4 linked regions of the Cricetulus griseus genome follow. The protein of the gene in region 4 binds, or shares a complex with, the protein of the main gene of each other region. Links are inferred from orthologs where the notes say so. Each region holds a gene or a part of one and is shown on either strand. Other genes may lie near its edges.

Region 1 (3,518 bases), on a different chromosome or scaffold from region 4:
ATCTGTTTCATAGTGGAAATCTGTGGGAAGAGTGGTGACTTTCCAATTCTGGTTCTCCAAAGTGAACTTGGTCAGAGTGGTGGCAGCCTATTCATAAAAAAAAAGGACATTTTTTTATTTAAATTAAAAACAATCTTATTTTACATGCCAATCCCAGTTCCCTCTCTCTGCCATCCTCCCACCAACCCCCCCATCCCACCCCTCATCCACTCCTCAGAGAGGGTGAGGCCTCCCATGGTGGATCATCAAAGTCTGTCACATCATTTGGGACAGTACAGAGGCCCTCCCCCCTGTATCTATCTAGGCTGAGCAAGGTATCCCTCCATAGGGAATGGGCTCCAAAAAGCCTTCTTAATAACAATGATATATACCATTTTAAAGGTGATTAGGAAGGGTTGGCATTACTCTACTATTTCCAATTCTCTGGTCACTATGATGAGTGACTGTGCTGGGCATGAGAGCAGATGCCTGTAATCGCAGCACTCAGGGGGCTGAGGCAGGTATCCTGTAATGAGTTCATGATTAGCCTGGCTGTAAAGGGCATGAGACTAGACAACACGGTGTCACTCTGTCTCACTTGCTGAGCTTGCCTGTCCCTGGCACTGGCTTTGGGACTATTTCTCAGTGGTCCCTTAGGGATGAGGGAGAAAAGAGTACGTGTTTATCAGTTAAAGTTATAGCTGGGTACCGGGGCACATCTGGGGGATAAAGGCAGGAGGACCAGAGGTTTAACACCAGCCTCAGCTATATAGCAAATTTAAGGGCAGCCTGTGCCACAGGAGACCCTATCTCTAGAAAACAAAAATTAAATACACCGTAACTTTCCACTTATTTCTTTGTTATGGAGACTCTCTATGTAGCCCCAGCTAGCCTGGAACTCAGAGAACCTCTGCCTCCCGAGTGCTGGGATTAAAGGCGGGATGTTGCACCAGGCTGTACAGTGGTTTTTGAAAACCCTGTCAGGCACTTCGGCGCCGATCCAATGGACACCAAGGTGTCCGTCAGCCGATGAGTTTTGCTGTGTGGTGGTGGCGGCACACACCTTTAATCCCAGCACTCCCGGGAGGCAGAGGCAGGTGGATCTCTGAGTTTGAGGCTAGACTGGTCTTCAAAGACGGTTCCAGGACAGACTCCAAACCTACAGAGAAACCCTGTCTTAAAAAAAGAAAGAAAGAAAGAAAGAAAGAAAGGAAGGAAGGAAGGAAGGAAGGAAGGAAGGAAGGAAAAGAAAACCCTGTCAGAAAGGGCAAGAGGAGAGCAGAGTAATCTCAGAAGGCACTAATGTCTGGCACAAACCTTTGTTTTCCGAAAATATGCATCAAAATCAATATCATCATCAAAATTAATTTCAAAGTCTTTCTTTGAACTCTTCTTTTTGTTCTCCACGTGGGAGGCAGTATCTTCTGCAGAAGTAAAGACAGTTTATAACATTATTCACCTCTGTGCCAACATTATTCTCATCTCACATCCACTAAAGGCCTTGTCAAGCACAAGACTGCATGTGTGGCTGAGCATCACTACAGTGGTGGAATACGGTAAAATCACATATCCCGGGTCCAGCTAAGTGCAGCATGTGTGCTATGTTAGACACAGGCGTCAGTGTATACTCCACTTTTCCTTACGGAGCCTGGAAGACTATAGGGGACTTCCCCTGTGCCACTTACACAACTGAAGTCGTACGGGTACTAGGAAGCAGAGTGAGGTCATGAGGCCTGTCCCCCAGACTCAGAGGCTTACTCTTGCCACTCAACATTAACTGACCCTCCTGTGGCTGACCACTGCGCAGCCAGGAGGCTGGCTCAGCCCCTCTGCTTCAGCACCTCCTCAGAAGATGAGAAGGACAGAGATCAGCAGTGTCTCTTTTCCCTGCTGACTGAAGACTGGCAGGCAGTATGTGCTGCATGGCATTGTCTTACAGTCCCATCCACAAGTACTTACGCTTGGGTCGAGGCCGAAAGAACCAGTGATCTGGGCCAGCCCACATCTTCATGGTCCGGGGACTGAAATAGGAGTATTCTCCAGGTTTCATGGATAAAAAGGAGCACATGGTTTGGATGTCTCTGTCCCTGAGGGAAACAATTTCTTCCCTGTAACACAACAAAACCAACTGTTCATGTATACGGCACAGAACATAAACCATGCATTTACATATAAAGAAGTTGGTGTTACTAGAGATGCTACCCCACCTCCTCTACCACAAAGGGTCACTTCCTTCTTTTTCAGTATTTTTATATTTTATTTTATAAAATGGGTGTTTTGCCTGTATCAATGTATGTGCATCACATGCATACCTAGTGCCTCCAGAAGCCAGAAGGGGACATGGATCCCCTGGAACTGGAGTTACAGTGTTGTGAACCACCATGTGGACTCTCTAGTCCCAGAAGCAACCTTTCTAAGTCCAAGCAAACCCTTCATTAAGAAATCACCAGCCGGGAGGTGGTGGCACAGGCCTTTAACCCCAGCACTCAGGAGGCAGAGGCAGGCGGATCTCTGTGAGTTTGAGACCAGCCTGGTCTACAAGAGCTAGTTCCAGGACAGCCTCCAAACCCACAGAGAAACCCTGTCTCAAAACAAAACAAAAAAATCATCAAGTTTTTACTTGTTGAGAGTTTTTGCCTAATTTTCTCACAAAGTGTAACTATACAAATATGTTGGCTGTTCCAAAGTGCTCTGTAAATACTAATCAAAAGTCAAGGATTCTTTGTTTGTTTTAGACAGGGTCTCCTTATGTAGCTCTGGCTGGCCTGGGAATGGTGGCAGATGCCTATAACCCCTGAACTAGGGAGGATGAGGCAGGAGGATCTTGAGTTTGAGATCAGCCTGGGCTACACAATGATATTTAGTCTCAAAGAGCAAGCACAGGATGCCAGAGCAGGTAGCTGGATGCAACTCTCTGAATCCAGACGTGGGTCCTTTCACACATGTGTTTTTTGCCACAAAACATGAGAATCCTAGTTCCCATTCTTTCACTGTTGAGAATCCACAGGCACTGCCTTAGTTCCTCCTAAGAGGGAAAAGGATATTCCAGTTTACATAGTTTGTTCCCCAAACACTTGGAGAGTCCCTTTAGTAATTTTAGGTCACCCAGCTTCGTGTGCTGTGTATGATACACATAAGAGGCCTGGCAGCCTGGCAGCTTTGGGACATGAGGGAGCCCCTCTCCTCAGGCTGAGGCACTAGGAAGCACACCAGTGCAACTCTGCCACCCTGTGAGGATAAAGGTGGTGAGTGAGGAGAACTTAGTCTCTCCGTGAGAGGAGCTTTGCACTGGCATTGAGTTGACCATGAGTCCTATGACACTCTACAGAGTAAGCAAAAAAAAAAAAAAGCTTTAAAAAGGGGACTGGCACAGGGTAGGACAGCACACACTTTTAATCTCAGCTCTGGGGAGGCAGAGCCAGAGGCAGACAGAACTCTGAGTGTAGGGTCAGCCTGGTCTACAAAGTGAGTTCCAGGAAACCATCTTGAAAATAATAATAATAATAATAATAATAATAAAAGCAGACTGGCTTTCTCTA
Region 2 (3,518 bases), on a different chromosome or scaffold from region 4:
TTTTATGTGTATGAGTGTTTATTGAATGTCTGTCTGTGTGCCACATGCATACAATGCCTACAGATGTCAGCAGAGGTCATTTGAGACCAGACTAATAGACAGCTGTGAGCTGACACGAGGGTACTGGTAGCCAGTGATCACTAAGCCATCTTTCCAGGCCACAAAATTCAATTTTAAAACTTTAACCCCAGAATAGAGAGTCTGTCACCTATATGCCTTTTCTTTTTGCTAACTCTGTTGCAGAAGGCAAGTATTACTCTAAAGTTTGTGGGGTTGCTAAGAATGCTCAGTGAGTAAAGGCATTTACCCACAAGGTGAAAGGAGTAAACCAACTAACTCCCTTAAGTTGTCCACTGACCTCAGACACATGTAATAGCACACATGTGTATGCAGACACAAAAGTAATTTTTTTTGGGGGGGGTTTAAAAACTGTAATATCTAATAAAAAACATCCTCTTTAGCCACCATTACTAACCAAGCAGAGAGAGAGAGGCAGGAGGATCTAAGTGAGTTTGAGGCCAGCCTGATACATACAGTGCGTTCCAGGCCATCAAGTGCTACATAGTGAGAGCTTATCTCCAAAATAAAAAACAACAAAAACATAAAATATCCCAAAATCCCTTTACACATTACTATTTTAGGAAAAAGAAAATTATCACCACCATAGAAACAGAATTGCTAACTGGGTGGACATTATTACTAATGTAAACTCTGAAACTCATAAACTTGGGACAAAATTGTGTTAAGACATAAAATACTTTTATAAGCATCCCAATTTATCTTCTTAGGGAACTAGAGTCAAGCAAATTAGGGAAAACAACTAGATCTGGTATTTAGACTTGAAAAATTGATTTCCCCCAATACCTACCTTTTCTTTATCTTTTTGAAGTTGTTTCTCCAGTTTTTTGGCTTTACTTGTAGCATGCTTTAATTTTTCCCTAAGTTGAACATCTTCTAAATCTAGCTTTGTAAATTTTTCTTTATTCTCTTCAATAAATTTTATAACTTTATTGAGTTTCCTATCAAAGAAAGTAAGTATCAGTCATAGACACATAGACTTTCTGGTATATTTCCTCCACAAACATGTCAAAACTCCTTTTAATTAGAATCCTAAAACTTCTACACTGATCTTCCCTGATAGCTGACAATTTTTTTTTTTTTAAATCATGAGAGCTGTCTTTCATTTCTAAGGTGGAAAGACTGTTCTTTTACTATGTCTAGGTATATAAAAAATTGTCCATAAAAATTAAAGAAATGAAGCTCACTCAAAGATACTATTGTCACTGAAAGTTGGCATAGAATAGGGCCATGATAATTTTTAAAGTCTACCTAAAATAACCAAAATTCTATTTCAAAACCAAATTTGTAAACTAATTAGGGCTAATGGGTCAGGTAAAATGCTTATGTTTTAGCTTTTTATATATTGTGCCACTAGGGGAAAGACATCCCTTACGGTATGACTGTTGGGCAATCTGTAACAGTGAGCTAGGTATAGGAAGTGCTGGTGCCTAAATGAACTATTTGCTGGGAAATGTATTACATTCAAAGTTTGCTCTAAGTTTACATGTAGACACATGTGAAAAACTGAATTTAAAACTTCTCAAAGAGGCCAGGCGATTGTGGCGCACGCCTTTAGTCCCAGCACTTGGGAGGCAGAGGCAGACAGATCTCTGTGAGTTCAAGACCAGCCTGGTCTACAAGAGGTAGTTCCAGGACAGCCTCCAAAGTCACAAAGAAAACCTGTCTAGAAAAACAAAAGAATAAAAAAAAAATTCCTAAAGAGTATTACTTTTCTATATCCTTCACAGCTGAATTCTTAGCTTTCATTTCATTTGAAAGCATATTGCTCTTCTCAGTGATTTCTTTAGTATCTTCATGAATTTTTTCCTTTTGAGTTTTCATTTCAGCAATTCTTTTTTGTAGATCATAACTAGAGGAGAAAATAAGGAGAATGCAAAGTATCATCAGTAAAATCAACTGCTTATAACATATTTATTCATCAATTTATAGCAAAGTGAGGTCTATGGAAGTGGGGTTAAGGCTAGATAGAATTTAATAACAAAATTGGTCCAGTTAATAAATTAGATCTAAGCTGGGCGGTGGTGGCACACACCTTTAATCCCAGCACTCTGGAGGCAGAGAAAGGTGGATTTCTGTGAGTTGAGACCAGCCTTGTCTACAAGAGCTAATTCCAGGACAGCCTCCAGAGCCACAGAGAAACCCTTTCTCAAAACAACAACAACAACAAAAAAACAAAACAAAAACAATAACAACCCCCCCAAACCCAAACAATAAATCAGATCTATCATTCAACAGTGTATAGTAAGTAGTATCTCATTGTTTTTGCATTTCAAAGTTTCAGTTACTTGTGGAAGACTAGCATCTAAAAATATTAAAAGGTAAATTATAGAAATAAACAATTTCAAAACGTACATTGGCTAGCATTACTAATCTTTCCTTTCATTCAGTATACCAACATGTACATACCAGCCCTATACTCACTTAGTAGTTCAAGTAACTCTCCTTATACTTAATAATGCAAAGGGCCTAAAACATGTAAGGAGGAGCTGAGGAGATGGTTCAATTAAGCAAGAACATTTGATTTTTAAGAATGAAGATCTGAGTATGAATTTCCTGCACCCAGGTAAACTGTGCAGCACCATGGTTAAGTGTGCTGTTAACATCAACATTAGGGGGTGGGGTAGGGAGCATGCCTGATGGCTAGCTTGCCTAGCTGGAACTTCTGTTTTAGGGAACATCCTGTAAGGTGATGAGGTGGAGATGGGTAGAGGAAGACACTCCATATTTTGCCCTGGCTTCTGTGTACGCACATGCATACGCTTGCTCATGTGCAGGCAGACACACACATACACATTCCCCCAAACCAAACCAAAAAACCCACAATGGATTGGGGAGATAGCTCAGAAGGTAAAAGTGCTTTCAGGACACACTTGATGACCTGAGTTTTATCTCTGGAACCTCCTACTAGGAGAGAATGATCCTTGAAAACTGTCTTCCTTCCTGGGGAAGTTAGCACCCACCTACCCTTGTACAATTATACCAATAATGAAAACAACAAAAACTGCATCCTGCAAGAGCTGATTAACTCTGATTTTGTGGCACTTCTATAGGACACAAATAGTACATACATAAGGGTTTGGCACAGCCTGTGATTTCTGTCAGGTTCTGAATATTATCCCTTAGCACATGCACTATTACTACTCATATGGTATAACTTCCTTCCTTCTTTCCACTTTTAAAATAGGACACTAAAAAGTGAGTAGTGACTTTTAGAAAAATCACATTACAGAAAAAAAAGGCTTTGATGCTTAGACCAGAGTACTTACATGTAATATTGACAGACATGATTCTTTTTTTTAAATATTTCATTTTCCAGGGTAAGGAACTCAATGGCTATGTTTTTCTCTCCTTCTAGGGCATCCTTTTCCTTTTCCACCATTTTAACTCTGTTTAACTACAAAAATTATAAAAAATTATATATTTCATATATAAAGTCA
Region 3 (3,518 bases), on a different chromosome or scaffold from region 4:
TGAAAAGTAAAATATTTCACTAAGTTAAAACAGATTTATTGTTTAATCTACAATTATGTGCATACACATATCTTTGTGGGGGTAGATGCATATGAATGCAATTTCTGTGGTGGCCAGAAGAGGGTGTTGGGTCCCTAAAGGTAGGAGATAAGGCCCATGATGTGGGGAATGAAAACTGAAATCGGGTCCTCTGAACAAGCAGTGTGTTGCTCCCTTAAAAGCAAGCCATCTCTCCAGTCCCTTTTAGCCAATGTTCAGCAAACAACGTTGGTGTTCCAATTTCTCTACTACATGATTATGGTTAAGAATGCTGTAACAGCCGGGTGTTGGTGGCGCACGCCTTTAATCCCGGCACTAGGGAAGCAGAGGCAGGCGGATCTCTGTGAGTCCGAGGCCAGCCTGGTCTCCAGAGCGAGTGCCAGGATAGGCTCCAAAGCTATACAGAGAAACCCTGTCTCAAAAAACCAATAAATAAATAAATAAACGAATAAATAAATAAATAAATAATGCTGTAACAAAGGTTAGAGCTCAGGGGTGGTTCCCTCTTACGCCTGACATCCAGAATTCAATGTTCAATGCTGCCATTGAAAAAAGATGAAAAGCGGATGTCATAAAAATCCCATGCAGTAAATCAAATCAAAGAATGCAACAGTAATGACAGAATAACTGTGAAGGCAGTTTGAACAGAGGGAGACTAAATCACCCTATTTGGTTTAAGATGAGTGATACCAGTCACTGTTATTTTCAAAAGAATCCCCACACACACATCCAACATTTGATATACTTTAATTAATATTTGAGGAAAAAAATACAAAATAAAGAAATGTAACTTAAAAATCTTGTGAAAAATTTCCAGATTGCCTTCCAGTGCAAGCAAAAATGTGTGTTGGTTATTTACTGCTTAAATCTCTTACTTGTATGCAAACCGAAGATTGGGAAATCTGGCCAAGAGAGCTTCGTAAGTTCCTTTCAGATTACCAATGTCACGTGAGAGCTGCCTGTGCTTATCCAGAAGTTTCTCCTCTTTGTTTTCTGAGAAGTAAATCAGAAGGAGCTCGAAAGCAGGTCTTAAACATGTGACCACTTAAGGGAAGCAGAGCCTCTGCCTCTCTTTCTCAAGTATTACAAGGAGCAAAATGTAAATCTCCCAAGTATCAAATGGTCATGTTTCTAACATCAAAATCATACAATTTTCAATGCAAGAAACAACATATGAACTGAATACCTACTAACGTGAACATAGATAAACACTAGTTTTAAGCTTTCAAGTGATAAAGTAAGAAAGTATCAAAAATTTACTAGACTAATTTAGACAATTTTGACTGTATTTATGACCAAACACTTCTCTAATGTTTACAAATAGGTTAAAAAAAAAGTTTCTATGCATAAAACCTCCTCATGATTTGACTTTAAAGACACTTAAGACAAACCTTCATAATTTAGTTTCTTCATTTCGGTTTCAAGTTTTTCCTTAGCTTTTTTCACAGTTTCAAAAGCTTCTTGATCCTTCTTGTAGCCACTATCCATCTTCCTAACTTCTGCTTGCTTACTCTTTAGCTCTTGTTGGGCATGTTTCAGCTTCATCTGTGCCTGTGACAGAAAGTGTAACAGACTATGAGGTGGGCAATGTTAGTGATGAAACAGCTACAGATTCAAATCAATTTAACAAGGAAACATCAGAACTGAAAATAGAACTGTGTAGTCTCCTGGATTAATACTCAAAAAAGTTAATTTCTCTGTATTCATGTCTTAAAAATATTAACATAAATGACTAATTTAGAACATGTCTATTCTTAGTATTAATACAGTATGACATATTAACAAAGTTGGGAAATTTCATGAGAATAACTCTCAGTAGCTATTTAAAAATACACCCGACAGTTACATATCACTATTTTGTTGTCTTCAACTTGAGTGTTTCTAACCTTATTTGCATATCTCTATGAATTGTATCTGTCAACAGCAAACAGCTGTGTAAAACAATACATAAAAGGGAAGGTACACTGACAGAAATTTAGTGCCAAAAGTCTGATATTCAATGGTGACTACTTTTGACCCCTATGAATTTCTACAAGTGAACACTGCTTTTTAATGGCATACTTTTATTCTCAGGGTGTATAACTGAATATATTCTCAGGCCTTAGAATTATAATATTCTCAGTCTATAACTCAATGATGACAGATCAGCTTTTACTAAGTCCTTCAGGGTATGTTTATTAAAAATTAATTCAAAGCTTTAATAGTACTGAGTTCTTACAAACTCTATGCCTGTCACTTCTGAATGAAAAAATACAAATATTTGTAAATTCAAATGTCTTAAATTGATCAGGATTAATTAATAAAGCATATAAATGTTTTCATGTAAATATGTTAAAGGTGGCTCTTTCACTTAACGAAAAAGCATGCATGCATACTTCCAAGCAGTGCTACAAATAGCATACAGCTCTTGACAATCGAAGGTTACCAATATTTAACAATGAATGCACTGAGATTTTTCCACATTAGAGATTAGCGATATTTTTAAAAATCCTTGACATTCAACTAATTATTTTCAAGATTTTGTAGCAACGCAAAGCATAATGTGAAAAGTTGCTTCTCACGAACTGCAGTAGTTCCCACCCCATGCTTACTGTCTGTGCATACCTGCTTGGCCTCGGTCTGAGCTTTACTTATATCATTTTTACAGGTTATCATTTGCCCAGCCAGAGTTGCTTCTGCTCCATCTTCATTGCTGGACAAGCCAGCAGAAACAGCATTGAAGTGCTGTTGTGCAGCGGCCAAAGCTTCAGCATCTTTATGACTTGCTTCTTGAAGGCTGTGCAGCCCGTCTGTTATCTTTTTAACTTCCTTTTCCTTTGCTGCTAATGTTTTAGAGTCCTTGGGGAAGAATATCAAAGTGAAAAGAGATTTTAGAAGAAAATTTCAACTTACATTGTTATTAAAGTTCATAGCATTTTGAGAGGGCATAATAAAAGAAGTAATTTAACTGTTATTACTTTAAATTCTCATGTTGTAACTTGCTGTTTTGGGTATGTGACACCTATATAATATGACATTTTCTTTCCATATGGGACAATAAAATCCAGGCAAAATGGAATAAATTTAAAGAAATCACTTAGGAAAGCTAAAAATCAGTTCTGAAATCTATAAAACAATAACCACCCCACATCAAGCTTAAAAGTTTTAGGATTAAGAATACATATACAAAAATATTTTATAAAGTGGCATAAGATTCAAGCATTGCAGAATAAATATTGCTATACTTAACTCCTTTTATGTAATATTAATTAGATATCTCACACAAGACAAGATACCAACTAAGGAAAAAAAGACCTTATTTACATAAACATGGGCAGATATTTTGGGCCACTTGACTACTTGTAATTCATCTACTATTTACTAGGTCCTTACTATATACTGGATACTGTTTCAAGACTTTACAGATTATACCCTGTGTCTAGGAAGTCTATATTCTAAGGCAGAAAATATGGTAAAATAAGGCAAGGTCAGGCGACACC
Region 4 (3,518 bases):
ACTGCTGGTTTTATCTCATCCTTCTGCACAAACTCACAAAGCTGGGGAGAAAAGAAAAATAATTCTGCTTCAAAATAACAGTTCCCTGCTGGTTTACTTGTCTGAAGACAACATGGAGACCTCGATGGAGTAGAAGAGAAGGGGGTGCAAATGTCCAACAGGATTTTGAGGGGGTCTTCTTGCTCCATTCTCTACTTTTCCACCCCATGTCTTTCTTCAAGGCTACACTTCCTAAAGTAAAGCATTCCAATGGATCTTCTGAGTTTGCTGTAGACCACCATCCTGACCACCTGAGTATCTCTATAATTTTTCTTGGTCAACCTGTCCATGACAGGGTTACTATCCTTCTTGTCTTTTCATTTCCCAGCAATCGCAACCCCCTCTTCTTTACACGTGCATTCATTCGTTTTAGTGGTCCAGCCCTGAGTGTGTCTCTCATCACTGCACACCTACGGGAGCCTCGAGCAGCACTTCTACCCTGCCCACGGTTCTCCAGGTGGCTGGCATGGGAAAGGCAGGCCAGCTCTTCTCTGCCTACTGCAGAAGTCACAAGCAGCAGGCAGCTGGGAAATATTGAGGCAGTTGCCACCCCCAGGTCCTCTCTTTCCCCAGAGGGAACAAAGGCCAGGCCCAGCAGATGGCACCACTCCAGCAGCGCAGATTCACCTCATGAAAACCTAGGGTCCTTTGACTTGAAGGCTCATGCTCCCAGCTTGATTATCTTCTGAAGATAATGGTTTTGAGTCAGAACAAACTTCTTCATTCTCCAGATAGGCTACTGGACTCTCTTTGGTTTTTGACACAAATTCTCTCCTCTCTCTCAATCTGACTAAACTTCCATGACCCACGTTGCCTACTACCAAGCCCCTGACCTTCACTGTAAGCAGCTCTGTGATCTCTGTTACAGCACACAGGCTGGATATGTTTTCTTGAGCTTGTACTGTATAAGTGCTACAGTCAAAGCTGGGCGGTGGTGGTGCACGCCTTTAATCCTAGCACTCAGGAGGCAGAGGCAGGCGGATCTCTGTGAGTTCGAGGCCAGCCTGATCAACAGAGCAAATTCCAGGACAGGCTCCAAAGCTACACAGAGAAACCCTGTCTTGAAAAACCAAAAAAAAAAAAAAAAAAAGAAAGAAAAAAAAAAAAAAAAAAAAAGGTGCTGCAGCCAGGCAAGTTGTGAAACCTCTGAGCCTCCCTCACAGAATCCCATTCTACATACACAAAGAACTACCCAGAGGTGCCCAGTGGTGGTAAGAATAGCGCCCAGCACACAGTAAACAGCATGTGTTATTACTGCTTACGGTTACTACATATGCCACACCTGAAGCTTAACACTGAGGAAGCCGTGGCAGGATGGTGGGCATGAGGCCAGCCGGGACTACACAGTGAGAAGACAGCCTCAAAGTAGCAAACACCAGGCATATAAATATAAAGTTGCGAATCAGAAAGCAACTAATCTCAAATCTCTGTGGGGCTGAACAGATTTCTGCACACAGGAAGCAGCCACTAATTCTAACTGCTGAATGAGAGGGGGACTTACGATTTCCTCAAGACACTGGATGGTTCCGACAGAGGCGTCCACTAACAACAAAGAGAGGTTCTGTACCAAGGCCTGGGCCGTGGCTCTGTGGGAACAGTAGACATCAGTGGTCACTATGACTGGGAAGCTGACTTGACAAACAGGCTGTTAGGTTAAATAACTGCTTGAAGTAGGCCTCAGCAGAAACTGACCCTGGGCTTGGTACCAAGCAGTTCAGAAGTCCCTGGAAGAATAGCCTCAGGACACTTTGGAAATCCCCAGAGAAGCTGACCTCAGAGAAGTTAACCAAGACAAGGAACCCCATATACCTGGCTGAGTCCCCTTTTGGGCTGAGGTAGAGTTGGCGGTAGGCATTCAGTACAGCTTCCCGGACACCAGGCTCCTTAGACCAGATGAGAGGCAGCATGCGGCGAACCCCAAACAGAGCCTGGGGTACCCCAAATTGGAACACCATCACAAAGAATTCAATCACTTCCTGCACCACTGAGAACAAATACAAATGTCACCCATCTACCTGACAAGTATTATACTACTCACAGATAGAATCCCTGTCAACACAGCAATATGAAAGTAGAAGTCATTGTCATTGTCCCTGAGACATGACACTGGCTAAACTAGGTAAACTGTAAAATGTTAACAGTGGTAAACACTCCCTGACTTTTAATGGTGCAGGCATCAGGGGCTGGACGATAGCTCAGTGGTTACGAACACTGGCTGCTCTGACAGAGGACCCAGGTTCAGTTTCTCAGTACCCGCATGGTGGCTCACAACAAATCCTAACTCCAGTTCCAGACGATCTGACTGCTTCTGCTCTCTACAGGCACCAAACTACATGTGGTGCACATATACACAGGAACAACACTCACACACATAAAAGTAAACGAAATCTTACAGCCAGTCCTTTCTCAAGAGCGCCCCCTACCTGTGGTTGTGTTTTCATACATCATCTTGCTGATGATGCTGATGGCTTCTGTGATCTTCTGGGAGAAGCTGCAGGCATCCTGCAGATACTGCACCAGCATCTCCTGCTTCACCAGCTCATCGCCCCTCTGGGGTACCTCAGGCTCAGACACACTGGGAGTGTCTTTACTGTCAGTTGGCGCTGGGACTGTGTCCCCATGAGACTCCTGTGTGGAAGCTGCAGGGCCTAGGAATTAGAGAGGTACAAGAAGTTTTGTCAGGTGTACCTGGGGGATCCAGTGGGTGCCAGCATCCCTGTGTATTTCTTTCCACAATGTAAACATATGAACTTAGAACCTACTCTAACACACTTTGGTTCATTTCTTAATGGATTCCTGGAGGCCCCTCTAGTTTGCAAAGGTTCCCTACAACCAGGCCACTGCCGTTCCAGAGCAGCACCAGCCCCTCCTCCCCTGCCTCCTCCAGCCCGAGGCTGTGCTTGCTAACTGAAAGGGTTACCTTTGAAGATAATTCCCAGGAGATTCAGGAAGCTGGTCTCTTCTAGGTCTGTGTGACTGAAGGGTTCAGACTCTTGGAAGTGGCCGGTGGCTTCTCGAGTGAGAATAATAGCCTGCCTAGAAAAATACCAGCCTGTCACCAATTCAGCACCCAGAAGAGTGTCAATGAAGCCTTTGAAGGGATCCTACCTCATGATTCCATGCAGTCTCTACACATAGTACCCTAAAGAAAAGGGCTTCGCCTTATGCTTAAAAAGCTGAGCAGTACCTACTAGGACACTGGGTCCCAAACATCAAGCTTTTCCTGTAGTCTTCAAAGAATGTGGATCTTTTCGTTGTTGTTTTGTTCTGTTTTGTTTTTTTTGTTTTTTGTTTTTTTTTTTTTTAGACAGGGTTTCTCTGTGTAGCTTTGGAGCCTATCCTGATACTGGCTCTGGAGACCAGGCTGGCCTCGAACGTGGATCTTTTTAAAGCTTTCAAATCACAAACCTGGGCTAGCCAGATAGCTCAACAGGAAACATACTCACCACAGACCTTAATGACTTTGAGTTTAATCCCTA

The links. Proteins that work in one complex are often made in the same cells at the same time.
Region 1: Ncapd2 (region 4) and Ncaph share a complex: the UniProt entries of both Homo sapiens proteins name them as parts of the condensin complex. The link is inferred for Cricetulus griseus from reciprocal best matches to the Homo sapiens genes NCAPD2 and NCAPH.
Region 2: Ncapd2 (region 4) and Smc4 share a complex: the UniProt entries of both Homo sapiens proteins name them as parts of the condensin complex. The link is inferred for Cricetulus griseus from reciprocal best matches to the Homo sapiens genes NCAPD2 and SMC4.
Region 3: Ncapd2 (region 4) and Smc2 share a complex: the UniProt entries of both Homo sapiens proteins name them as parts of the condensin complex. The link is inferred for Cricetulus griseus from reciprocal best matches to the Homo sapiens genes NCAPD2 and SMC2.

The regions. Positions count from the first base shown.
Region 1 is NC_048599.1:51,411,579-51,415,096, reverse strand, and holds part of Ncaph (condensin complex subunit 2), read right to left. Parts: intron 2,088-3,518; coding exon 1,939-2,087; intron 1,404-1,938; coding exon 1,297-1,403; intron 88-1,296; coding exon 1-87. UniProt on the Homo sapiens protein: Regulatory subunit of the condensin complex, a complex required for conversion of interphase chromatin into mitotic-like condense chromosomes.
Region 2 is NW_023276806.1:84,122,517-84,126,034, forward strand, and holds part of Smc4 (structural maintenance of chromosomes protein 4), read right to left. Parts: intron 3,476-3,518; coding exon 3,348-3,475; intron 1,931-3,347; coding exon 1,790-1,930; intron 1,020-1,789; coding exon 869-1,019; intron 1-868. UniProt on the Homo sapiens protein: Central component of the condensin complex, a complex required for conversion of interphase chromatin into mitotic-like condense chromosomes.
Region 3 is NC_048595.1:91,427,852-91,431,369, forward strand, and holds part of Smc2 (structural maintenance of chromosomes protein 2), read right to left. Parts: intron 2,878-3,518; coding exon 2,644-2,877; intron 1,591-2,643; coding exon 1,431-1,590; intron 1,033-1,430; coding exon 915-1,032; intron 1-914. UniProt on the Homo sapiens protein: Central component of the condensin complex, a complex required for conversion of interphase chromatin into mitotic-like condense chromosomes.
Region 4 is NC_048601.1:21,244,335-21,247,852, reverse strand, and holds part of Ncapd2 (condensin complex subunit 1), read right to left. Parts: intron 3,076-3,518; coding exon 2,960-3,075; intron 2,688-2,959; coding exon 2,463-2,687; intron 2,024-2,462; coding exon 1,849-2,023; intron 1,626-1,848; coding exon 1,541-1,625; intron 42-1,540; coding exon 1-41. UniProt on the Homo sapiens protein: Regulatory subunit of the condensin complex, a complex required for conversion of interphase chromatin into mitotic-like condense chromosomes.